Caenorhabditis elegans: one gene and its partners. The protein of the gene in region 1 interacts with the protein of each later gene in a pairwise test. Each region holds a gene or a part of one and is shown on either strand. Other genes may lie near its edges.

Region 1 (4,795 bases):
AAAAATGCTGCAGCATGATTGGGTCAGCCAACCTACTTTCTTTATTTCCAGAGGTCTCTAATTTTGAAAAAAAATTGAGGATGCTCAAAAATGTTCAGAGCTGCTGTAGTTTGATACAATTTCAATGTGAATATAGAAGTTATGAAAATTAATTACAAAAGTAAAGGAAAAAAGAACTGAAAATACATTCAAAAATTTTGTTTTTTAATTAAAAAAAAATGATAAAATGACCTGACTGAACCTTAATCCAAAATTAAAATACTACGAAACAAAAAATTTTTACAGCGTGGGAAAAGTTGGAAAACGTGAGAAGAAAAGGCTTGAAATTTAACAAATTTTAGTAATTAGAAAATACACTTTTGTGCTAAAAAGGTATGTATAAAAAGTGAAGCAGTTTATATACAGTGGCAGTCGCTGAAAATAGTTAGCGACCGTCATCTCAATACTGTTTTTTCCAAATATCTTTTCGGTCAAAAATGATAAGGAATATCTAGTTGAATCAATTTCTAAAGTTATTTTTACGATATTTTTTTAGTTATTTCTTTATGAAACGGTCATGAAAATAGACATTAAAAGTTCTAATAAATAAAATTTAGAACATTTATTCAAAAATGTTAATCTTACTGTTTCGAGCCCTTTCTTAAAATTAACTATGCAGAATTTCTAGATACAGAAGAGTAAAATAAAATAATATGTACACATTAACAATAACAGTAAAAATCTATGTTAAAAAATAAATTAAAAAAATACTTTTTAAATAAGACGATGGTTTAAATTTTTATCCATATTTGAAAATGTAATTTTTGAGACAGGCAACAAACTGGTTCGTTTGGAATTTTGCACTAAAAACTAAAAATTGTTTTTTCCCTAATAAGATGATTAAAGATAAAAAATAGGATCATGCCCAGAACAGTAAATTAACAGTTTAAATTAAAATTTTTATCTTGACGAATCACTAAATTTCCCAAGATTTCGCCTAAAAAAAGGACCAATATGAAAAGTTGAAAACACAGAACGACGCGGCTCGGCTTTCTCCTCTGCCTACTTTTAGTTTTGTCCTACATCATAAACAAGGGCCAACTCCCGAATCTGCTTATCTCGATACCCGCATCTCTTTTCCTTTTTAGCCACCCCTTTATTGCATTATCCCACACTTTCATTGCACTGCTTCATCTTGAGAAAGCAAATGGATGCGATGGGCTGGGATGGCCGAGTTGAATTGGAAAGGTCTGATTTTGGGTCCGATGAGAGTGGAAAAACATTACTGACTAATTTAGATGTGTGGTATTTTATAACTATTTTCATAGCTTTTTTAATCATTTTAGTATATATAAAGTTTTATGAAACAGCTTAAATTTTTTTTTTCACTGATTGCAAATAAAAACGTATTTGAGAAAAAAGGTAACTTTAAAAGCCAATTGGAAAGCAGTTTGTTTTCAAAAGACTCACCTCTTCTTCCTCTTCTTCGACCACTTCTTCTTCTGGGATTACTTCGTCTTCAGTGATGATCCTCTTCACCGGTCGACTTTTTCGTTTGCTGGCTCCCGACAAAGATGGACTGACACGTTCTGTGACAAGGCAACCACCATTGGCTTCTGAAAAATGTGCACAAGAAATATGGAGCAGCATCTAGTCAGAAAAGTTCCTTTTTTGAGCAATCAGAACATGTTATCTCATTTTCACGATGCCAATCAAATTCGCGCAGAAGTTTTTTTTTTCGAAAGCTAACATCAACGACGCTGAACTTGAGTTAATCTGTGTAAGTAGTGGAACGCGAAAATAAGGACACACGGAACGGTGATCAATAGATCAAGTTTTGATAGTACTTTCACTACTGTGATTTTTCAATGAAATGATAAACTTTTAATTGATAATTTGGAGTTACTTATTTTGTGTACATTGTTCTACAAATCAACTTACAGTATTTAATAACTGATCAACGTTTCAGTGAATGTAATTGTCAAATAACTCATTCTAACAATTTTTATAATACTCTAAGATGGCCGAATATCAAAATAGAACACTCCATAATTATTTTGGTGAAAATTCAAGAAAAACATTTGAGCATTGCTACACTTACATACATGTTTTCAAAATGTTAGGTCAAAACTAAATTTTAACCACTCTTTGACTGTAAAAAAATTGAAAATTCTTTCAAAATGTTTACTGTAAAATTTTTAGCGCTATGAAACCGCTTTTTAAGTGTAAATGAGTTTTGGAAAATGTTTACCGTCAAACTTTAAATTTTTACAATTTTTTTGAAAAGCTGGTAGCGTAACATTGGAAATTAATTTTTGTCTGAAGTGATTTCATATCGAGTATCCAAAATTTATTTTAATGTTTTGCAAGTATTATAATTTTTTGAATTTCTGACAATTTTCTATACAGAAAAATGCATTCAAAAATTCAAAAAAACTTTTGACCCTTATTTTCTCAAAAGTTATTTCTGGAGTTGTTAAAACTAAAGTTGATAATTTTGAGTTTGCTACTCCAAAAAATATTTAATTATTTTATACATACCATTTCGATTTTAGTATACACATGAATTAGTTTCTTAATGTACATATATTTCATTTTCAGGCTCAAAAAACAAGAAAAAACCCAACAAAACTGTTTTGCTCAAAAGTGCAAAAAGTTTCACTTTTTCATCAAAAAACCCATACAATTTTTGAAAAACGCCTAATTTTTTTTTTTTTTTACACAAGTGAATTTGGATTTTAAAACTGCAAAAAAAGAGCATCTGACCAACATTTTTAAAAAATTGTTGCGTCCAGGTAGACAATCATCGCCTATAACATACCGTTGTCATTAGCTTTTCACGAAAATCAGTCAAAATGAATTATTACAGCAACGCGCTTGATTTGTGACCAGACTCCGAAGAGTCGACAATTAGAAAAAGAAACGGATATTGATAAAGCATCACCTACCGAATACTTCTGCGAGAAATTGAAACGTGTTCTCCAAGGTGTTCATATTTCTTGCATTGATGATATGTGTTGTGAGGATGATGATAGAGACTTTTTACGTCTGAAACAGAGACACTGTTGGATAAGACCGACAGAGAATGTGGTTTTGATAGATGAAAATTAAAAATAAATCGAAACTGTATAAGCTGGAAGGTGAATGAAGGTATGACGAATCAGAAAAGATTGACTGAGAAAAGAGAATCGAGATAAACAAAATGTAATATTCCGTCAATTGAGAAAAGAAAATGAAGAATGTGTTTCATGTGAGCAAATCGGCGGCATGGATCAAGCGAAACGCGTGGGGGCCACTCATTGCCGACGAGGGTGATCGCATCGGCGATTCAGGAAAATGAGCCACCCTAGAAGTTGTAATATTGGCATAAAATCAACCACTCTCGGGGTGGGGAGGAAAAGCCGAGCGGCACCTAACTAGCTGACAGCCAAGCGTTCTAGTGCGACTTGTGTCTCAGTATTTTTCAGCCAATTGTCGCATGCGCCTAATGATTCGATCTGATTTTTCTGCGGCTACTGCTGCATCGCGTTCAGCTCTTCTTGTTATGATAGCTCTCGACGAAAAATGTGGGAGAGGAAGAGAAAAATAAAAGAAATGAAGTGAATTTCGCATAGGACACTTTGTTTAAAACAATTTTCGAGTCCCTGTTTTTCGCATCACTTTTCTTCTATTATCTAAGTTATTCTAATATCTAGGAACGAAACTAGGGTAAAATCTATCGCGTCCTAATTTGAAATTTAAACTTCGATGTTGCCGAACTGTATGAGATCATAAAGAAAATTTGACTGATAAGCTTTGAATAACACATTAGAGTATTAAAAAACGCCAAATTTGCATATGATAAGAAGAGAAATTGGTTCTGTAGCTCCGAGAGTGCCTATGTTTGTCACTTACACATCATTTTCTGAAAGTATTTGCATTCTCACTGTTGAGAAAATTTCTAGTTGAAGCTGAAAAAACAGTTAGCTCTGTAAAAATGGAGAATGTGAAATATTCAAAAAAGATTCTTCGAAATACATCTTGGAGATAAGATGATATGATATCTTGTGTATGAGGCTCACTCTTCCCGGCCATTACACTACACATTCATTACCTAGTCTTTTGAGCACCACTTGGCTCATGAATTCGAGTCTTCACAAAATTACGTAGGATGACAGACAACACAACTGCTAACAAAAAAGACGACGCCCCGCCGGCTTGTTCGGCAGTCAGGCACCGAGGCATTTTTGATTATCAAAAGATTTTTGATGGATTTTATTGAGTGATTGATTGTGGGGGGATAAAATGTTGATTCGGGAGGTGTTGTTCTGTTTGGCAAGAAAGAGACAAAGAATTGGGAAGGAAAAAGGGATAAGACGGAGAATAGGTAGTAGTATGAATGAAACATGGAGAAACAGATGCGATATCGAGAGGTCATCAGCTTAACGAAATGAGCATTGACACATGAGCCCTAAAGTTGAGGCAATTCGAAACGTGATGTACTTCTCTTGATTATCTATTATCTTTTCCTACAAAGTCCCCATTCCTTCAAAAGCTCCATTATCTTTTTTTGTTTTCAGCTGTACTGTAAAACGAGGAAATGTGGATGATCGCACTGGTCGGATTCATGTTTAGCCAGTAAAAGGCAAAAAGGCATTGCGGCGGCCAGATCTGTGGGCAAAACCGCGCAGTTGTTCAAATATGCATATTAGATGGCGTCGATTTGAAACGACGGTGCTTCTAGCGCTGCTCCTGCCCTGCTGACACTCTGGATATACGACATTTGCCTATGCAAGCGAAAGAATGCCGTTTGGCCGGCTCCCCCCAAAAAGCCAAA
Region 2 (7,798 bases), on another chromosome or scaffold:
TTAATCTAGGTTGAAACTTACTGATATTTTTGTGGTTTTTATTACTTTTTTTATTTTCCAACAAAAAAAAACAAACAAACAAATCTACCATTTTCCCATAATTTTTTCCAAAATTTCAACAAAAAATTCTAATCTAAATTTAAAAAACATATAGCTACAAAAGTGCTATAAAAAATTTACATTTCAACCAAAAATCTTATAAACTGAATTTTCATCGAGACCATCACCAAAAAACTAATTTTTGACCAAATTGAGTGCGAAAAATCGAATTTCCATCAAGAATATTATAAAACATTTTGTTTTCTTCGAAAAAATTAGAATTTTCCAGGCAAATTCTATTTTTTGTAGTTTTTGATGAAAATTCAACTTTTTTTAAATATATTTGTGTGGCGGAAATTTACTTTTTTGCATTACTTTTCGAAGAAAACAAAATGTTTTATAATATTTTTGATGGAAATTCGATTTTTCGCACTCAATTTGGTCAAAAATTAGTTTTTTGGTGGTGATGGTCTCGATGAAAATTCAGTTTATCAGATTTTTGGTAGAAATGTTTTTTAAATTTAGATATTAGAATTTTTTGTTGAAATTTTCAGACTTTCTGTATTTTGTTTTAAAGGTTTTTGGTGTAAATTTCAGATGGATGGATGTAATTTGTAATATTTGTGGAAAAAAACTGAGTTTTCACCGAAAACAGTGCGAAAAATGAAATTTCCACATTGTAATTATTTTAAACAATTTTTTAAAAATCATGTTTTCGTGTTTTATGTTTTTTTGTGTTTGTTTCCATTTAATTTTTCTAATTTTTGAAATACTTACAGTGGAAATTCAATTTAATTTTCGAAATCTAAATTTTTCGTATTATTTCAGTTGCTTTTGTAATTCAAGAGCATGTTTTTGTGGAAAATCAATTTTTAAAAATATTTTTCTGATGAAATTTTAATTTTTCGGGATTTTTTTAAAATGAAAATTCTATTTTTTTTGTAAAATTTTTTGATAATAATACCAACAAAAAATCGAATTTTCACCAAAAATATAGCAAAGTTTTGCAATTTTTAGGTGGAAATTAATTTTTTCGCTCAACTATTTCGAATTTTTGTAACACATTTTTTGGTAAAACCGTTGAAAACGCAGAAATTTTGTTGATTTTAGCCTAAAAATAATATAAATTGCAACTTTTTCCAATTTTTTGGTGAAAATTCAATTTTTCTGAATGTTCGTGAAATTTTTCGATAAAAATGTAAAAAAAAGCAAAATTTTGCATTTTCTGGTAGAAATTATTATATATTTTTCGCAATTTTTTGGTGAAAACTTCATTTTTGTGATTTTTTCCAAGGAAACACTCTATTTAACAATTTTTAAGCATTTTGTTGTGGTAGAAATTCAAATTAAAAAAAAAATAATTTTCGGTTAAAAATTAACTTTTTTCGTACTATTTTTGAAACAAAAATTTAATTTTCGGTGCATTATTTCTGATTTCACTTTTTAAACTCAATTTTTGGTGGAAATTTGAATTTTTTGTACAATTTTCCATGAAAAAATATGAATTTTCATCAAAAATTACGAATTATTGATTTTGTGCTGGAAATTTGAATTTTTCGCTCAATTTTCGATTTTTTGAATGGAAATTTTTTTTTTTTTTTTTAATAAGATCTTTGATAATCTTTGACTAACCAAAAAAGTGAATTTTCACCGCAAATATAGCAACATGATTTTGCAATTTTCAGGTAGAAATTATATATTTTTCGCACTGTTTTCTCGTGTGAAAATCCAAATTTTTTGATTTTTTGAATGGATGGAAACTCAATTTTTCGCACTATTCGAAGAAAAAAAAACAGTAATTTTCTGCATTATTTCTGATGAAAATTCACATTTTTTAATCAATTTTTGGTAATAAAAAACAACAAAAAAAAATCTAATTTTTTTTTCGCACTATTTCTGCTGGGAATTTGAATTTTTCGCTCAATTTTCGGAGAAAAATTCAATTTTTCCCTTCATTAAAAAAGCCCACACTAACATGACGATTATCACACTGAACCATATCTCCATAGCTCTTCTCATTACAAAAACACCAATGCATCTCATCCTCCTCATCCTCCGATCCCGGAGCCATCATCGGATGGCTCCGCTTAATCCGATAACTCGGTCCTTCCTCATCATCATCCTCGGCGGCTCCTTCAATCTCCGGAAGTGGTGATTGTGGTGAAGAGCTCGTCGGAGCGTGAGCGTGCTGAGCCGCCGCCGCCAGATTCGCCGCACTCATTCTCTCCTGTAGTGCTATAATTGAATTTCCATGATTCCGCTGCCGCTGTAGAGTCTCCTTAAACATCTCCTGAACTCTACTGGTCAGCTTCCGAGTTCTACCATGACGGCTCTCAGACACCACAAACGCCGAATTCTGGAGAACTGGAGTCGTCGGCGAAACGACGATATGCGGTCCTGAGGAGAACGTCGGTGTCATCAGTAGGCTTGTCGTCGGCGTCGGTGATGATTCGTCGATTCCGGCGTTTGACCAACTACGTTCGGAGGGATTCGGTGAGAAGCGGGATGTCGATTCACCACGATTCATCATTGATGAAAGAGCACTTGGAATGGAGACTGTGCCGCGGAGAGCATTTGTGTTTGAGCGGCGCTGAAATTTGGAGAAATTAGAGAATTTTTAGTTTTTTCACTCCAAAAACGACTGATTTTCGTGAAAATAATGGCGGTTAGGCTGAAAAATCAGCCTATTTAACGGTTCGGACGATTTGGAACGTATAGACCCAAATTTTGTGCTCAAATGAACGAATTTCATACTGAAATTGCTCAAAAATTCTTCAAAAATGTTTTATGGCGCTTCAAAATTTCGAAAACTTACACTGATTTGAGTTAAAATCTCGAATTTTGGTCATTTTTCCGTGTCTCGGCTGTCCGAAGTTGGCTTTTTTTGGAAATATCATTCTTGATTGCATATATTGGTTTTAATATCTCATTTAATTTCGTTTATTAAGGTCTGTTTAAAGCCTATAGGCGACCAATTTTAATGATTTTTGGTTACCTATTGGCTTTAAATTTACCATAATCAATGAAATTAAATGAGATAAACTACCAAAATATGCAATGAAGGATGATAATTCCAAAAAAAACCAACTTCCTACAGCTGTGACACGGAAAAATGACCAAAATTCGAGATTTTAGCTAAAATCAGTGTCATTTTCGAAATTTTGAACCGCCATAAATACATTTTCGAGCAGTTTCATTACGAAATTCGTTCATTTGAGCACAAAATTTGGGTCAATAAACCGTTAGTCCTCCTGTAAATAGGCTGATTTTCCAGAAAATCATGGCGGTTTGGCTTAAAAATTAGTCAGTAAAGAGCCAAATTTCGTTTAATTTTGAAAATTCGAAACAAAAAGTTAATTTTTAGCTGAAAACGGTCCAAAATGACCCAAAAACGGCCAATTTTCGTAAATTTTATTAAAAAATGTGGCGGTTAGGCTAAAAAAATAGTTGAAAAGAGACGAATTACGCTAAAACTCGAAATTTCGTCAAATTTTTCTTGTAACAACACCCAAAAAACGGGAAAATTTTATCAATTTTGTGAGGTTTTTGTACGATCAAATTTTGCGGATTTTAGGCTGAAATTCAAAAATGTTTGAAAAATATTATTTGAAAATTCAAAATTTAGCTAAAATTCGAAATTTCGCCAGTTCTTTGAACAGGAGGCCGTGGTAGGTGGGCTCCAAATTTTGCGAATTTTCTCGAATTTTCAGCTAGCTCCTCACCCTAGCCGTCGGTGTTGGTGGCACTGGCGTCAGACAATCATCACTGGCCACCACCATCGCCGCCGACGACAGCAACAGCTGATCCTTTGCGATCTTTGGCGGGCGCCCACGTGGCGCTGGTGATGGTATAGCCGATGATAGTGCCGATTGTGCCGACTCATCGGAAAGATCCATTCGAAGACGAACACCTTCCTGAAGGATCCGCTGAATTTTGTCCTTTGATTCTTTCGATAAAAGTGGTCCCGAAGCGACTGTCGATGCTCTCGACGACGATCCTCCACCACCACCACCACCGCCCACGCGATGACGACGTTTTCGTTCTTTTCTCGCTGTGAGCAGAGATTCGACGTGTTGGGTATATCGTTTTTCGATCATTTCGGTCACTCCTGAATTGTCGGCCTCCATTTCACACTGGAACGTGGTTTTCTCCTTTTCCAAGTGAACTTTGTACTTTTTGAGGAGTTCTTGCATTTTTTCGGCGATTAGATATTTGCGTTGAGCTAGCACGCGGATTGTGGAGAATTCCTGAAGAAAATTGGTTGCAATTTTTTGGGTTTTTTCAATTTTTTTTTTGTGAAAAAGCAAATTTTTGAACTTTTTTTTTCATTTTTTAAGAGAAATTTTGCCATTTTTCAGCTATTTTTGTGATAAAAACTTTTTTTTGAGCTTATTCAACGTTTTAACGAGAAATTTTGAAAAAATGGTTGAATTCTAAAATTTTTATTGAAAAAAAAAAGCAAATTTTTGAGCTTTTTTTTACTTTTTAAAGAGAAATTCTGAAAAATTGGTTGATTTTATGATTTTTCGGGGGTTTCGACTTTTTTTTTGTTGTGAAAACAGCTAATTTTTTTTTATAATTTCGGCATTTCCTTCACTTTCAACGCGAGAAAATCTGGAAAATTGGCATTTTGGGATTTTTAAGCTTTTTTTTTTTTTAAAAGCTAATTTTTCAGCTTTTTTTTTAAAGAGAAATTAGAAAAATTGGCTGATTTTTTGGGATTATAAGGTAGTTTTGGGGGAGAAAGCTTTTAAAATTAATAGAAAATGCAAATTTAGGGTTTTTTTCCAAGAATTTCGGCAAAATTGGTTGTATTTTGAGATTTTGAAAGTTTTTTTTAGAAAACCACGAAAAAAAAATTAGAAAATGCAAATGTAAATGTTTTTTCCCAAAAATTAGTTGAATTTTCAATTTTTTTTCGTGAAAAAAGCTAAATTTTCAGCTTTTTTTTCACTTTTTAACAAGAAATTCCGAAAAATTGTCTGAATTTTGCGATTTTTTGTCCTGTTTTTTAAAAAAGATTTTCAGTGAAAAAAGGAATTTTTTCGACCGTTTTTTTCCGAGAAATTCTGAAAAATTAGCGGAATTTTGGGATTTTTTCGCGGAAAAATGCTCATTTTTTGAAAATTTCGGTATTTCCTTTATTTTTAGCGGAAAATTTTGAAAAATTGGATGCATTTTGAGATTTATAAGCGTTTTGGGCTAATTTTTGCGTTTTTAAGCTATTTTTGTGAAGAAAAAGCTTCAAAAAACGATCAAAAACGACAAAATTCTAATTTTAGGTTTTTTTCCGAAAAGGTTACAACTTGGTCGGATCTTGAGCAACTTTTTGAGTTTTTCGACCTCATTTTAGTGTTTTTAGACGTCATTCACTTTGAGTATTTTTGAGCACTTTTGGTGTTTTGTGGGAAAAAAAAGCTTAAAAAGTGAAAAAATGACATCAGGCAAAGTACAAAAAAATCCCATTTTTTCTCATTTTTCTTCACGAAAAAGCTAGAAAAACGGGTTTTATAGCGAAATTTCTCATTTTTCACGAATTTTAGCCGTTTTTGTGGCAAAAATCAACTTTTTCCTGCGTTTTCGTGTCAATTTGCTGCCAAATTCGAGTTCCAGGAATTTTCATGAAATTCACCTCCTGCAAAACCTTGCAGCGCTCCTTTCTCTGCTCCTCGGGCATATTTACGCCGGTTCTCTCGAAAAAATCGTTGATCGCCTCTCGATTACGGTTTAGACGGGCTAAAAATTCGAAAAAATGAAGGGAAAAATTCAGAAAAATTTCGAAATTTTACATTCAACTTCATTGTCGATTCGCCGAATTTCATCGCTTCTCTCCTTCAGCTCGGCAGGCAGCTCATCGAGCACTGGAAAACGTTGAAAATTTGGGTGTTTTTATAGGGGAAAAGTTTGCAACAAAAAAAACCACTTACTTTCTAAAAAATCATCGAGGAAGAGCATTTTGTGCGGGGGCGTCCAGCGCCGAGTTCTGAATTTTTTTTCCAAATAATTAATTAATTAAAAGTGGAGTAGCGTAGCGCCAGTGGGAAAATTGCTTTAAAACACGCCAAATTCAAAAAAAAATTTCTAAATTTTATATGATTTTTTGAAAATTGAAAAAATCTCAGTTTTTACCCCTAATTCCTATTTGAATTTCCGCCAATTGAACTCGTTCGTTGGAGCGCCGCGCTTGCACGTTTCTAAATTTATTTATTTTTTGTTATTTTCCACCGATTTTTAATGTTTTCGGTGTATTTTTGCTTGAATTTTAGAGAAAAAGTCGAAATAAATGCAAATTTTCGAATAAAAACCATGCGTACAGACCGAAATCAGTGAAATTAATTAATTTTGTCATTTTTACGCCTGTAAGCGTGCTTTTTAATCGAAATTTAGCATTTATTTTGACTTTTTCTCTAAAATTCATGTAAAAATACACCGAAAACTAAAAAAAATTGAAAATCGGTGGAAAATAACAAAAAATAAAATAAATAAACTTAAAAACGTGCAAGCGCGCTCCATCGAACAAATCCAATTAGCGGTAATTCAAATAGGAATTAGGGGTGAAAACTGAGACTTTTTCAATTTTCAAAAAATCATATAAAATTTAGGAATTTTTTTTTCAATTAGGCGCAATTTTAAGCAACAAAAAAAACGAATTAATAGGTATAAAAGCGTTAAAAACGCTGAAAAAAGGGCAAAAAAAAGGCAAAAAAAAAAATGATAAAATTCGAATATTTTATAGTACAAAAAAGGAGAAAACGGAGAAAACTACCAAAAAAAAAACAACCGAAACTAAGGAATTTTCTATTCCAAATCAAACGAATAGTTGACAATTGGGTATTTGCGTGGATCGTCGAACGGGTAGGCACGGTAGAAATCGTATGAATACTGCTTCGGCATTGCCGGATTCTTCCAACGGAGCGCGTTCGGATGTTCGTTGGTAAAGTACCAGGCGAGGAGAGCCATCGGTACGAGCACGCGGAGGCACATAACGATCGAGTTCCAGCTGAAAATTGGATAAATTAATTAGAAAAAAAAAACAAAAAAAAACAGCCTAAAAATCCGAAAATTAAAAAAAAATCGCAAAATTTAGAAAATCCACATTTTTTTCACCGAAAATACTAAAAATCGCTGCAAAAATTCAAGAAAATCCGAGAGATACGAAATCGATAAAATCGGTAGATTTTTTCGCTAAAAATCGGTGAAAACCCGTAATAAGAGGCAAGAAAATCAGTAAATAATTTGAAAAATGTCAAAAAAATTTCCAGGAAATCGAACGAAAATTCTCAATTTAGTGAAAAAATCTCAGAAAATCAACTGAAAAATCCTTTAAAAAATTTAAAAAACCTGTGGAAAATCCGACGAGAAATTCAAAAAAAATCAATGAAATTTCAGGAAAATCAAAAAAAATTCGTCATTTTTTTAGCCAAAATACGAGAAATTCCTCTTTTTTTCAAAAAATTATGAAAAAAACTGCCTAAAAATACGAAAATCCACTTTTTTAAGGGAAAAAATTCGGAGTTTTATCAGAAAATCGGGGAAAATTATGAAAAACTTAAGTTTTAGGGCGAAATTACCCGAAAAATCTGCGAATTTTCGGATTTTTATCAGAAAATTGGACTAAAATTCGCATTTTTCAGCGAAAAATTCGCTTTTTTATTAGAAAATCGGAGAAAATAATGAAAAAAAAACTGGCTGAAAATCAGAAATTCCGAATTTTTACCTAAAAATAGTGAAAAATTATGGAAAAAACTGCCCAAAAACC
Region 3 (6,708 bases), on another chromosome or scaffold:
TCCATTCCGAAAAATTGCCGGTTTGCCAAACTTGCCAGAAAATTTCCATTCCGAAAAATTGCCGGTTCACCTAACTTGTCAGAAAATTTCCATTCCGAAAAATTGCCGGTTTGCCTAACTTGCCAGAAAATTCAATTATGGCAATGTTGCGATTATCGTTTTGAAATTCTGAAATTTCCAGAAAATAAACTTGCAAACCCACAACTTGCCGAAGTGTTTTTTTCCGGCAAATTGCCGATTTGCCGCACTTGCCGGAAATTTTCCTTTCCGTCAAATTGCCGAATTGCCGGAAATTTCAATTCCGGCAATTTGTCGATTTGCCGGAAATTTACAAATTCGGCAATTTGCTGGTTTGACAGAAAATTTCCATTCCGAAAAATTGCCGGTTTGCCTAACTTGTCAGAAAATATCCAGTCCGGCAAATTGCCGGTTCGCCGAACTTGCCGGAAATGTTCCATTCCGGCAAAAATATTTAGACTACAAGGAGAATAAATGAATAAGAACACATTTTCAAAAAGTACAACCATCGGATAAATTCCATAATTTATTTAACAACAGATTCTTTATCATCATTATCATTTTGTAACAAACACAAATTATCAGCAACAAAACGGCACAGCTCTTCCAAATCCAAAGTTTTATTGTTTTTAATTAGTTGATCTAACATGTCTTTAGGAATTGAGGTGACTAGGGGAGCAGCTTTTGGTACCGTTTGCTTAACATATTCGTCTGCCAACTCGGCAAGTTTTGTCTCACGATGATGCTCCTGTAATAAGTTATTTTTAAAAAAATATTCTGGAAAAATTTACAATTTTATTGGGAAATTCTAAAAAATGAACTAAAATTACATGATTCGTCTCGAAATAAAATTTTTTTCAACTAGAACTTTAGGCTAATTTAGGCCAATTTTTGAGCATTCTCCCCAATGTTTCAGTTAACGGGATTTTCTTCATTTTGACTGTTTCAGGTAAGAATTTATATAAACGAACATGTTCATGTGCAGATATTTGATACAAATGCTGTCTCCACTCCATTTGCTGCTTTGCTCGGATTTTTCGGGAACCTAAAGTCCCAATTACTCCGTTTTTTAGACGTAGGTCTTCAGCAGCTTTTTCAAATTCTTCTCGAGCACTGGCGAGCCTCTATAATTTGGTTAATAATTTTAAAATTGACTTTTCAAAAGAAAAAGTCGGAAATTCAGAAATTCCACAAAAAAAGTTTAAAAACGGGATTTACAAACTAAGGAGAACTCCCCGACCAATCACCATCTTTGAACTACGCCCACTCGATCTGATTGGTGGAAAAGTGGGCGGAGCAAATCGCTGATTGGTCGCAGTTCTCAGTTTTGCATTTTTGAAAAAACTCAAACTAAAGTAGGACTTTTTTATTTATTCGCTATTTTTTTGACAAATCGGCAAATCGGCAAATTGAAAAATTCCGGCAAATCGGCAAATTGAAAATTTTCGGCAAAACGGCAAATTGAAAAATTCCGGCAAACCGGCAAATTGAAAATTTCCGGCAAATCGGCAAATTGAAAACTTCCGGCAAATCGGCAAACTGATGGAATTGAAAATTTCCGGCAAATCGGCAAATTGCAGGAATTGAAAAATTTCCAGCAATTCGACAAATCAACAAATTGCCGGTATTGAAAGTTTCCGGCAAATCGGCATATTGCCGGAATTTATAATTTCTGGCAAATCGGAAAATTGCCGTTATTGAAAATTCCCGGCAAATCGGCAAATTGCCGGAATTGAAAAATTCCGGCAAATCGGTAAATTGAAAATTTCCGCAAATCGTCAAACTTCAGGAGTTGAAAATTTCCGGCAAATCGACAAATTGCCGGAATTGAAAATTTCTGGCAAATCGGCTAACCGGCAAAATAAATTTTCGGCAAATTGGTCACTTTTTTTTTGAAATTTAGAGAAAAAACCTACATGAAAATTCAAATTAACAGTTTCATCCTGTGCAAACATTTCAGCAAACTTCTTATTCAATTCCATTTTCTCATTTTCATATTCCAATTTCAGCCGTTCTACTCCAATTTCTGACATCATTTTTCTCAAATCCACTGCAAAATTCGCATTTTTCTCTTTTATCGCCGTTTTATTTTTGAGAAGTTGAATGCGTTTTTTGATTTGATTACTTCGAATTTCCGCATGCTTTCGTTGATCTTTTTTCTTTTGAACACACTTTCGGGCGTACTCACGGTTTTTGGCCATTTGACGGTGACGTTCCTGAATAATTTGGATTTAAAATTGATATTCTTGCCAAAGTTGAAATTTCCGGCAAATTGGCAAATTGCCGATATTGAAATTTCCAGCAAATCGGCATTTTTTGTCGAAAATCAAAATTCCGGCAAATCGGCAGTTTTTTGCCGAAAATCAAAATTCCGGCAGATCGGCAGTTTTATTGCGGAAAAGCAAAATTTCCGGCAAATCGGCATTTTTTTTTTGCTGAAAATCAAATTTTCCGGCAAATTTTTTTCGGGCAAAATTGGGAAATCGAAAAATTGCCGGAATTGAAAATTTCCGGCAAATCGGCAAATTGATGGAATTGAAAATTTCCGGCAAATCGGCAAAATCGATGGAATTGAAAATTTCCGGCAAATCGGTAAGTTTCAGGAATTGAAAACTTCCAGCAAATCGGCAAATCAGCAAACTGCCGGAATTTAAAGCTTCCGGCAAATCGGAAAATCGGTACATTTTCGGAATTGAAAACTTCCGGCAAACGGCAAATCGGCAGTTTTTTTTTGCCGGAAATCATAATTTTTTGCAAATCGGCAAACCATCAATTTGCCGATTTGCCAAATTCGTCGACAAAAAAATTTGCTGAGCCCCAATTGCTATCCTGATTTGAGTGAGGCTTTTCAGAAAAATTTGGAAATTATTTTCAGATATAACAAATCTTTTTCTACACTACAAAAAATAGGCGTTAGGCGGGCATGTACATCTAACCTAAATTTTGTACTAGAAGTTGTAAAAAATCCACACAAACCTGTTCTCTCTTGTCCATCTTACTCGGATCTTTATTCAATTTCTTAAATTCCTCTTCCCACTCCAAATCCCCATCTGTATCCATCTTTGAGTAGCCTTCATTGTAATTATTATCAGTGTACTCATCTTCTATATCATCCAACATCTTCGCCTCTACTTCTTGTTTTATCTCCACTGGACCCATGTTTTGCAGTTGGCTCATTAAAAAGTTGAATACAAAGTTCTGGGAGCCTGACGATTCATTGTTATCTGACGACTCGTGTTCCAGCTTTACCGAATTCTGGTTGTTTTGCGTGGAGTCAAAGTGTTTTAGAATCATGTCACGACTGCCACTTGTTTCGTTATTCATTCTGTAAAATTTGGAATTTTTTGGTCTTGTCTGAAACTTTCGGGCCAGGCCCAATTGTGCATTTTAAAAAATTTTTCGCATCGTCTTTCGCTTATTGGTTCCTCGTCTTTCGCTTATTGGTTCGCGACTGTTTTTGTAACGAACTTATGAGAAAGTTTGCTGATTCTTATCAAAACACTAATTTTGCCGATTTGCCAGAAATTTTGATTTTCGGCAAATTGCCGATTTGCCAGAAATTTTAAAAGGGATTTTTCAACATTAATGTAGGAAAAAAGTTTGCCGATTAAAATTGAAATTTTGAAATTTCCAAAAAAAAAGTGCAAAATCATAATTTGCCAAACATTTTCGGCAAAAGGCGTTTTTCCGGAAATTTCGGCAAATCGACAGTTTGCCGCTTTTCCGATTTGGCGGAAATTTTTAATTCCTGCAATTTGCGGATTTGCCCGATTTGCCGGAAATTTCAATTCCGGCAATTTACCGATCTTCCGGAAATTTTAATTCCGGCAATTTGCCGATTTTCCGGAAATTTTCAGTTCCGGCATTTTGCCGATTTGCCGGAAATTTTTAATTCCGGCAATTTACCGGTAATTTTTAGGTCCGGCAATTTGCCGATTTGTCCGATCATCCGGGAATTTTAATTCCGGCATTTTACCGATTTAAAGGAAATTTCAATTCCGGCAATTTTCCGATTTGCCGGAAATTTTAATTCCGGCAATTTGCCGATATGCCCGATTTGCCGGAAATAGTTAATTCCGGCAATTTGCCAATTTACCGGAATTTTTTAATTCCGGCAATTTACCGGTAATTTTTAGGTCCGGCAATTTGCCGATTTGTCCGATCATCCGGGAATTTTAATTCCGGCATTTTACCGATTTAAAGGAAATTTCAGTTTCGACATATTGCTGATTTTCCGGAAGTTTTCAATTCCGGCAATTTGCCGATATGCCCGATTTGCCGGAAATAGTTAATTCCGGCAATTTTCCGATTTGCCGGAAATTTTAATTCCGGCAATTTGCCGATATGCCCGATTTGCCGGAAATAGTTAATTCCGGCAATTTTCCGATTTGCCGGAAATTTTTAATTCCGGCAATTTGCCGATATGCCCGATTTGCCGGAAATAGTTAATTCCGGCAATTTGCCAATTTACCGGAAATTTTTAATTCCGGCAATTTGCCGATTTGCCGGTAATTTTTTATTCCGGCAAATTGCCGACTTGCCGATTTCGCCAAACGACAATTGCCACCCACCCTGTTTTGGACGCGAGATATACATACACGTCGCCAGCAACCGGCAATTGCCAAAGTTTCTGCAACCGGCAGCTTCTGGTTGCGGAAACTTCGGAACTTCGGCAATTTGGCCCCTAATGTAAGAGCCCTGATGCCCATCGTGAACTCACTGATGCATTCAGGAATCTACAGTAATCATCAAGGGCGGAGCTTGATCCTTCCATATTTTCCTAACCAAAATTTCAAAACATACCTATCCCCAGTTCCTTAGATTCAAAATCGTCGTTGTCAGTCAAAAAAAAGGCAAGAGACCAATGGTGGGGGAGACAGTGTGTGTGTGTGTGTGTGTGTGATAAGAGAACACAACTTCTTGCTAAGAAGAGTGAAGACAGTGAATGCATGATGTTTGCCTGCATCATGACATCGTTTGATTGTATTGAATAGAGGAGGAGGGCAGCATCAAAAAAATGAGAAATAGTCAGAGGAAAGATGTGAGAGCCTTAGAGAAAACAGAGTAGGAAATACTGTGCGACATACTTGGTATCTGAGCAGTGGTTGAGACAGTGGGGGGGGGGGGGGACAGTGAAGGTGATTAGCAAGATTGATAAGAGACTGTTGATGGGGGATGGGCACTGATTGCTGTAATTTCCAATACATCGCAATTGTACATTCGATGGATGTAAATGCAATTGACAGATTAATTAGGTATTATATTGTATAAAAATGGGTTGGAAAGGCATATCAAAAGCTGAAAAAAGGTATCTATAGAAACCCATTCCAAAACCAAATTTCAGAAGCATCACGTGGTGCTAGGCTGTCCCATTACGGTTTGATCTACAAAAAATGCGGGAATTTTTCGCCCAAAAATATGTGACGTCAGCACGTTCTTAACCATGCAAAATCAGTTGAGAACTCTGCGTCTCTTTCCCCGCAATTTTTGTAGATCAAACCGAAATGGGACGCAATGAAGCATTACAATGAAGCATTACAGCGAAAAATGAAAGATAAATCTTTCCAGGACATGTAGCAAAAGCGGTTCTGTGGCTCGAGAAAGGTTTGAAAAAATGAAGAACAATGTATTCTTGAGCAGAATCCATGTAATATTTTGGTAGTTGAAACCCTGATTTTAGAATTTATCCAAATGAATTCTCGGAATTTTCAGTTTTAATAATATAATTCATTAGATTCACAGTGAAGTGAAACCTGATTAAAAAAGGATTAAAGGACGAAATATAATTTTTGTCTGAAGCCTACAGGAAAAATGTTTCATTGTTGAAGTGGAAATTTTCATTTTCGACAATTTGCCGGTTTGCCGGAAATTTTTGTTTTAGACAAATTGCCGATTTGTCGGAAACGTTCAGTTCCGGCAATTTGCCGATTTGCCGGAAATTTTCAGTTACGACAATTTGCCGATTTTCCAGGAATTTTCAGTTCCGGCAATTTTCTGATTTGCCAAAAAAAAATTACGGCAATTTGCCGAGTTGCCATTTGCCGGATATCAGATTTGCCGGAAATTTTTAGAGGGGTTTTTTTAAAGACGGAAACACTTAAAACTGTGCCTTTTTGAAAAATTCGTTTCCTGTTATGTTTAGATATTTTCATAGAACTTGCTTTTTTATTTTGACAAAAATTTCCGGCTATTGCAGTTTTTCAATCCGGCAAATAGACGATTTGCCAATTTGCCGATATGCTGTAAATTTTCAAATCCGGCAATTGCCGTTTTTCTGGCCAATTCGGCAAAAAGACATTTTGCCGATTTGCCGATTTGCCGGAAATTTTTAATTCCAGCAACTTGCCGATTTGAAATGTGTTTTCCAAGTCTACATTTAATGATAAAGTATAGAAAAGTATTTGATTTGATTGAAAACAACTATAATTTGGATTGGAAAAACTGAAAAAGTGCTGAAAGTTTATCTGGAAGTTGAAACTGCTCGAAAAAAAATGTAAACCTTTAAAAAAATTTTCGAGGACTTTTCAGTTTTTTAAATTTAAAGGGTGAAGTAATCTTTAGTAGTAGGAAAACTAGTTTTCAAAATCTTTCGTTTTAATAGGAATTTCAATATTTTATAGATTGACCAACCTAAAAAAGCTTTTTTTCATCAAGTTTTATTATCATATTGCATCCAGTTTTCCAGTTTTT
Region 4 (7,242 bases), on another chromosome or scaffold:
TCCATGTTTTTTGAAAATTGCAAATAGATACCGAAACTTTGACTAAAAACTTTGAAAAATCTTAACCATGTTGGTTATTTTTCGGATGTTCTGGATGTTCAAAAATGAGTTTAAAGCATTTTCTTTATAATATTGGTTGTTGTTCTGTTAGTTTAAAACTTTAAATTAGTCAATAAATCTCAATAAAAAATATTCTAGCATAATCAGGTTTATCTACAAAAACGTAACGCGTTCAAACTATTGACAAAACCATAAACAAATCATTAAAAAGGGGGAAATCAGTCAGCTAATGATTTGGTCATCTAGTTGAATGGGAATATCAGAATGATATGGATATGATAAGAAACGAGGCCATTAACAAGGAAAACGACGATGACACAATATGACATTCAACCGTTCCATTTTCCAATAAATCTCTCGGTTTCTCTCCCATCATTTATTGATTTCTATTGTTTTTTATGTTTCGAATCATATGTAGTCTTCTCAAAACTGTATGATTCACCTTTTTTTAATGATGTTTGTATGCCAATTGCCATTGTTGTAAACGTTTTATTCATCTGTTCACAATATAAATCAGAAAATAATAAATTAGTTTTAAAGCTTACCATTTTTTTTCTCTAAATTTAAATTAAAAATTTACAATTGAAAAATGAAATTTTGAAAGTATAAATCAAAATCCAATGAAAATCCGGGCGAGGCAAGAAACGGAGTGAAAAAGACAATGAAAAGAGATACTTAGAATAATTGAGTTACTGTATATGAAACATGAATTTACTATCTAAACCTCTTCAACATTAACACTCTCTTCTTCTTGAATTGATAATAATTCAGTTATTGATCGAATCGAATGACGTGGTCTTGAAGAGGAAGGGGATGATGCCGATGAAGGCTGAGTTGAGGAATTAAGAGCCAAGAAAAGTTGAACGGGATCCAGTTCTCCGACAGATCTGCAACAGACTCAGTTAATCCACTGTACTAATAAATGCTCATCATACCTATCATCAGTAGAAGAATTTTCATCAAATTGATTGCTACTCGTCGCATCATCCTCTTCTTCAATATCTTCACCCTCTTCAGTTTCGGTTTTTTCTTGTTTTAATAGAAAGTTCAAATTGAAGTTTGCCATTGGAAACAGTGACGTAGGAGTGGGTTGTTGTGGTGGCTTGAACATGTCTTGAATAAGTCTTGGCATTGAAGCTGATCCAATTGAAGGGCGGAATAGAACATCAATTATTGAAGTTGTTGGAATAGCGGCAATTGCATTTATACATCTGAAATAGGTTTCAGACTGTGAAGTTTTCAGAAGGAAAGATGGTACTAGAGCGTTTAGTTTTCATTAGTTTTCAATAATCAATTTCGCTTTTTAAGCAAATAGGAAATAATTTGCATTTTTTGTGAGAACAAAAAACACTGCTTTTTTAATTGTGGAATTTTTTATATTTTGAGCCGAAAAATGAACTTTTGAATAGGATAATCGTACAAAAACTATAAATGAACTTTTTCAATTGGTTAATTAATTAATTTTAAAAAAGAATTAGCAACCTTCAAACTAGCAAATACAATATTTAATTAACTTTGATCGTTGCAACCCACTCAGAAAAACAGCGTTTACCTTTATAGTGAAGTCTCACATTATTCCAAAAATAAGAAAATTGAAAAAAAAAATAAAAAAAGGAACTTACTGGATATATCTCGTCGGTTCGGTTCTATGTGTGAAATTCTGAATAGATGCTAACTGAAAGACAATTTGAATTGCACTTGGTGTATCTCTCCACATTGTGAAATGTTTCAACATCATGTATTCTCTATTATCCAATTGTAAACGTTCAATTATTTCAAACGCGTTAGCAACCTGAACATTCATTAATTTTTCAAAATATTCAGATTCATATTACTGCATACCGCATTTCTTTGCTCTGAGCTACCGGATATCGTCTCAGTCCTTATTTGCTTAGAAGTTATGGCACGTGTTTCAGTTGCATGGAGAACAAGAAGTGCTGCCCAATTTTGTTGAAACATTGTCATTTGCCGTTCTTTAGGTACTCCATTCAAAGGATTCTGACAAAATCCAACAAGTGCAAAAAAGATTCGAGCAGCAGTACCGGCCACTGTGTCACGATTCATTGATGATGTCGGAAGAATTATTGCATCACTTTCTGATCCCATTTCCGGCTGAAATGAAGGAAAATTAAAATCATCTACTTAATAATATTAACTTTTTCACTGAAAGTTAATTATAGAAATTTTAGACATAATTTCCTCTTGTATACGATATTTGCTAATTCTTCCAATCAGCTGTCCCTAACAAGTACTTATGCAACATAATCATTTGACACTATGTTGTCCCCACTTAAGATCCATAAGAGCACAATATTATTGAGTAATTTGTATCCGAATACAAATAGAAACATTAAAACATCTGCCCCAGAATACACATATATTCACAAGTTTTTGAAACTGGCTGATTTTTCAAGGTGCTCTTTTTTAAAGAATCTGTCACGGTTTTGGCACGTATTTGGTGTTTAACTGATAATTAGAGGATATTTTTTTGAAATTTGACGTTTTGAGAAAAACGTACCACAAAAAAATTAAAATGTTTTGTTTAATTCTTCGATAATTGCCAATTCAAAAAATTGCCAACTTAACGAATACTCAGCACTTCCGGCAACAACCAAGTTACCGTGTTGTAGAAAATTGCAATTCATTGCAATCATATTTCTGACCATGCTCTATATCCTAGGTGTTCCCTTCGCCAGTAAAATGTTTGACTATGTTCAAGAGTGACAAATCACCTGTCAGGTGGTACTGTAGATTTGTACAGCAACCGACAACTTTTCACCTTTTTTACTTTTCGTCGCCGCCGCGTCGGTGTCAACTCGACCAAAATCCACCTGCGGATTACTGTACTAATTCTACTCAAAATCCTTTTTTCACTTCACTTTAGTCACTGATTTTTGTGAGTGAGAAAGAGAAAGATCGGTAATCATGAGATTTAAATGGAACTATTTTGAAAGTCATTATGAATTCAAAACTAAATTAGAATCGATAAATTTAATTAAAATTATTAAATATTTTGTCCTTGTAACATATCCGAATTTAAGATTCCCACAAACACATACCGAATTAGGAGAGGATCCATGATCGAACATCATCTGTTGTCGTCTTAAACTTGAGTTACGAGGCCCTCTCTCATGTTGGACAGCATCTTTGTTCATCCCAATTTCCAGACACTTTCTTAGTCGGCAAGCTCTGAAATTCTCCAAGTGTCATCAATCAATGTATGGACTCGAACGTAAAGAGCATAAAAGGGGATCGTAACACTAATCTGTGACCGTTAAGAACTCACCTGCACTGGTTGCGGTGTGTTTTGTCCACTTTGCATTGTCCTTCGGATGGACTGCCTTTGTTTTTGCACACGTATTGACGATGACGACGGATTGAACGCTGAAATTTGGAATTGTTGTTCAATTTCAATGATAATTATGCTAAGGAAATTTGAAAGTCAATTCACATTGAAAAAATATTTCATGAGGTCTCAAATCCTAGACATACATTATAATCGGAGCAGAACAAAGTTAATGTTGCAAAATGATTGTAGACATTTTTTGTTGAAGATTAACACATTTTTATCTATCCGGAAATTCAATAATATAACAATTAGTTTCAGCAAAAATTAGTACCTTGTCTAACCAAGGTGTGCGCTTTTAAAACGTACTGTAGTTCAATAAATTTGTTTCTGTCGAATTTTGGATGGTTTTTCGATAAAAATATATGTTTTTTAATAAAATTCAGATGTAACACATACATTTTTAATAAATCAGGAGAAAAATTCGGCAGAAACGAGAGTACATAATTACAGTACAGTTTAAAGGCACATACCTTTTCCCGTTTAATAAAAAAAATTCACATCGAGACCGGTTACCGTATTTTTAGAGCAAAAATGGGAAACTTTCGCGTCTAGATAATACTTTTTTAAAAATTTTCCACTAAAATTTACTCTCAAATTCGAATATTTTAAGCTATCTAAAAAATGAGAGCTCAATAAACATTAAAACTTACTTTAAAGAATCCAGCACACCCGTCGCAGGAAAAAATACTGTAATGCTTCCCCGACGAATGATCTTCACAGACTCTACAATCAACATCCAATAGAATTCGACCTGAAGAAATAATCATTTTTAGGTGTGAAATAGAATGAGGAAATCAAGAAAGCCAAGAAGGAGAGACTCCAATTATTCAGCACTTCCTGTGTCTCTTGCCTGCCTAATTAATAGAATATGAAAAGAGAATGAAGGCAGAATGGAAATGGATTTGTTGAAAGAAAAAGGCAAGAAGTGAACAATATTTCAAATTGAGTTTCTACTTCTTGGATATTGAGTATTAGTTTTGATGTTGTTCGTATGACTTTAAAAAATTAATTTTATTTAACATCATGACCTTTCAAATCAATTCTAGTTCTAGCTAAATGGTGCTAAATCCACAGGTGCCACGTGTCACAATTGACCCGAAACACCTGCATCTCCCACAGAAACTCTTCCATTCTTGTACTAATTCCATCACCTAACTCATAATTCACACCTAATCATTTCTACCATAATATTGAGTCACTATGTTTAATGACTTCCTATTTTACTTATTGGAGTTCTCGTGCCGGGGAGATTAGGAAAAAAAAAGGAATTTTTATGAAAGTTTTATGTGACTTTTTAGTTCTGAAATCAGGGTTCTGAAATAATGTCTTAATTTTTCAGTTAGAAATTTTTTCTCACACTGAAATTGATATGCATTCAAATTATGATATTCACATTAGACATTTCTTCATTTTCTTTCTTCATTCACACAAACTAGTTTAGGTACAACTACAGTAACCCATCTGCACTAAGGCTTCTAGAACTCATATATAAAGATACATGGATTTACTGTAGTTTGTATATTAATGGATTTATCCCATGGAAGAAGTCAAGGTTCAGATTTTGTTAAATTTGAAGACAATGGGTAGTAAAAAAATATTTAAAAAAAAACAGGAGTATTTCATAGGGTTTTCAAAATTTTGTGAAGGTATCAAAATCCTATACGTATGTATCTTGCCAAAAAAGCTCCCACTTTTTTTTTCGATATTATGCACTTCCAAACCCATTTTTAGGAAATTCTTCCCTAAATATTTCAAATTAATAATAATCTACTCTGAAATTGAAATTAAAATGAGAAAATAACAATTTTATGTGGCTAAGAATGTGAAGTATGCCCACCGGGCAACTCATCCTACGTTTATTAATTGCTCAAGATCCCAATTTTAAAATCTGAGTTTCTTTTGAAGTTGGGAATTGGAAAAAAGCTTTCTACAGCTAAAGCCTGGAAGTTTAAGAAAGCTCATTTTTCCAAGAAAGTTCGAAGTAGAAGTTTTCATCTTCTGATTCTAGATGTTGACGATTAACTTTTTAAAATTGACTTACTGCTTGGAACCGACATCTGTGAAACCGCAGTCATCATTCTTGGCGCCAGATTCATTAATTCAAGAATTCCGGAATATTGAGCACACAGATTCCCAAAAGACAAATTCTCTCTTCTTAAGGCGAGAGTGAGAGGCAGTCGGAAAGGCGAAGGCGAGTCACGTCGTCAAATCATGGGCGGAGCTAGCGACCACCACTGACAGCCGACGGAGAGAAAGCGAAGAGAAACGACTCTGAGGGATACTGTAGACGATGCAATAAGCCACGCCCTGATTGATTTTGAGAGTTTTTCTAGTGTACTGTTTTTCAAATATTCAATTTTTTGTTTTCATAGTATCCAGGTGAATGCCAAATTATTCAATTGAGTGGTAGTTTTATGTTAATAGCTCAAGTAACATTGTTCAGAGTACAGAAAATCTAACTGAGGTGCTCTTGTAGTTGAAATGTTTAACTTATTTTGGAAAACTATAAATCTGAAAACCTAGACCACTGTAAACTTTACTAGTGTGTGAAGTTTTCAAGCAACCACTATGATTGACCACACTCTACTCATCTTTTAATTTAACTTTAACTCGGAGTTTTCAATTTTTATTTAATTTCAATACATTTTATCTGCAGTTTGACTTGAACAAATTTTGAAACTTTCTCAATTAAGAAGTGGTTCTTTTCTGGGATTCTGGTTTTTTCGGAAAACAGTTCTGTATCCTTGGTCATGTTATTATATTTGCCCTATATAGTCAATATTACTCTTGAAAACTCCCTTCCTGTCGGATCCTTTTATTGCTCACGGAGCATCCACCTCATCCCAAAAACTTTGTTCTCTTTTCATCCCGCGCACAATCACCACACACTTCTTGCCGTTGTTGCTCCCATTCTTCAGAATGCCTCCTCAAATCTTTTTGGAGGCACAAGTTGAAGGAGTTTTGGAAGACTCAAAAGAGCTCAAAAGACCCGACGACATCCCTGAGAATACTTGACCATTCATTGTCATCAGTAAAGACTTTATGATGAAAAGAATTGGAGCAAAAGTTTTGAGCAGAGGAATGGTAGTTTTGCCGCAAAAAGTTAGATGGAGTCTGGGGTTCTATGTGAAATATGTAGTAGACTGTTTTGAGAGAAAACTTCAGGTCGTGTGAAAAATTAAATATAAATATTATTTTAGGGAAACTCTAGGTTCCAGACTTGCTTGAACCACAAACGTAAAACTGACGAATTTCAAGCTGTATTTTTTACAAACTTCATTTTCAACTTTATTTTTTATATATCAGTATCAGGCATATAGTTCTCTCTCGGAGAGCCAGAACAAAATCGAACCAAAAAACCAATATCCCTTGATTCATTAAAATTTTAATTTTCTTTGAAGTTAGTTGCTGAAAACTTTAACATTGTAACACCGATTGTAAATTCTTAGATTCGTTATTTAATGTTCTACCCCTCTTGTTCTTCAGTAGGTTGTCACAACCAATTCAGTGTAGTCTATAGTATTAGGTTTCTAAGCAAAAAAAAAAACAGTAAAATATTTTTCCAGCTGCCAGGCTCATGGTATTTTAGAACCTAATAAAATTCTTCAAATGCTCATCATATAAATTGAACTCTCTGTGGCTTGTACCACAGGGTACGAACATGACCTCCATTTCATTTTAGTGGTGAACACCTGCATTTCATTTTGATGCTTACGCAATCAAAAATACTTTTTTTTCTCGATTTTACCCAAGAGTAAGACAATGTGTTGGGATTTTACGCAATATCGAGAACGATGCAGGAAAAGGTCGTTGAAGAGAGATAGACAGACGAG

Evidence for each region.
Region 2: the proteins of ceh-18 (region 1) and ing-3 interact in a two-hybrid assay, tested with the Caenorhabditis elegans proteins (one large-scale study listed by BioGRID).
Region 3: the proteins of ceh-18 (region 1) and zip-12 interact in a two-hybrid assay, tested with the Caenorhabditis elegans proteins (one large-scale study listed by BioGRID).
Region 4: the proteins of ceh-18 (region 1) and nhr-67 interact in a two-hybrid assay, tested with the Caenorhabditis elegans proteins (one large-scale study listed by BioGRID).

The regions. Positions count from the first base shown.
Region 1 is NC_003284.9:3,854,771-3,859,565, forward strand, and holds the start of ceh-18 (Homeobox protein ceh-18), read right to left. Parts: upstream 3,028-4,795; 5' UTR 2,974-3,027; coding exon 2,928-2,973; intron 1,597-2,927; exon of another isoform or gene 1,596-1,596; coding exon 1,450-1,595; intron 1-1,449. UniProt on the Caenorhabditis elegans protein: Directs gonadal sheath cell differentiation and function. Also directs gonad migration and plays a role in specifying the differentiated phenotypes of epidermal cells during postembryonic development.
Region 2 is NC_003280.10:13,874,258-13,882,055, reverse strand, and holds the start of ing-3 (Inhibitor of growth protein), read right to left. Parts: upstream 6,023-7,798; 5' UTR 5,995-6,022; coding exon 5,967-5,994; intron 5,901-5,966; coding exon 5,829-5,900; intron 5,776-5,828; coding exon 5,672-5,775; intron 4,287-5,671; coding exon 3,762-4,286; intron 2,630-3,761; coding exon 2,015-2,629; intron 1-2,014. Other genes in the region: ndub-8 (NADH dehydrogenase [ubiquinone] 1 beta subcomplex subunit 8, mitochondrial), read right to left, coding at 6,838-7,039.
Region 3 is NC_003281.10:12,326,099-12,332,806, reverse strand, and holds zip-12 (BZIP domain-containing protein), read right to left. Parts: upstream 5,141-6,708; 5' UTR 4,861-5,140; coding exon of another isoform or gene 4,822-4,860; intron 3,344-4,821; 5' UTR 3,343-3,343; coding exon 2,995-3,342; intron 2,235-2,994; coding exon 1,935-2,234; intron 1,143-1,934; coding exon 990-1,142; intron 767-989; coding exon 545-766; 3' UTR 533-544; downstream 1-532.
Region 4 is NC_003282.8:11,168,079-11,175,320, reverse strand, and holds nhr-67 (Nuclear hormone receptor family member nhr-67), read right to left. Parts: upstream 5,574-7,242; 5' UTR 5,488-5,573; coding exon 5,451-5,487; intron 4,161-5,450; coding exon 4,060-4,160; intron 3,445-4,059; coding exon 3,347-3,444; intron 3,250-3,346; coding exon 3,120-3,249; intron 2,912-3,119; exon of another isoform or gene 2,782-2,911; intron 2,173-2,781; coding exon 1,903-2,172; intron 1,853-1,902; coding exon 1,683-1,852; intron 1,272-1,682; coding exon 996-1,271; intron 948-995; coding exon 779-947; 3' UTR 530-778; downstream 1-529. UniProt on the Caenorhabditis elegans protein: Orphan nuclear receptor that binds DNA containing an extended core motif half-site sequence 5'-AAGTCA-3'.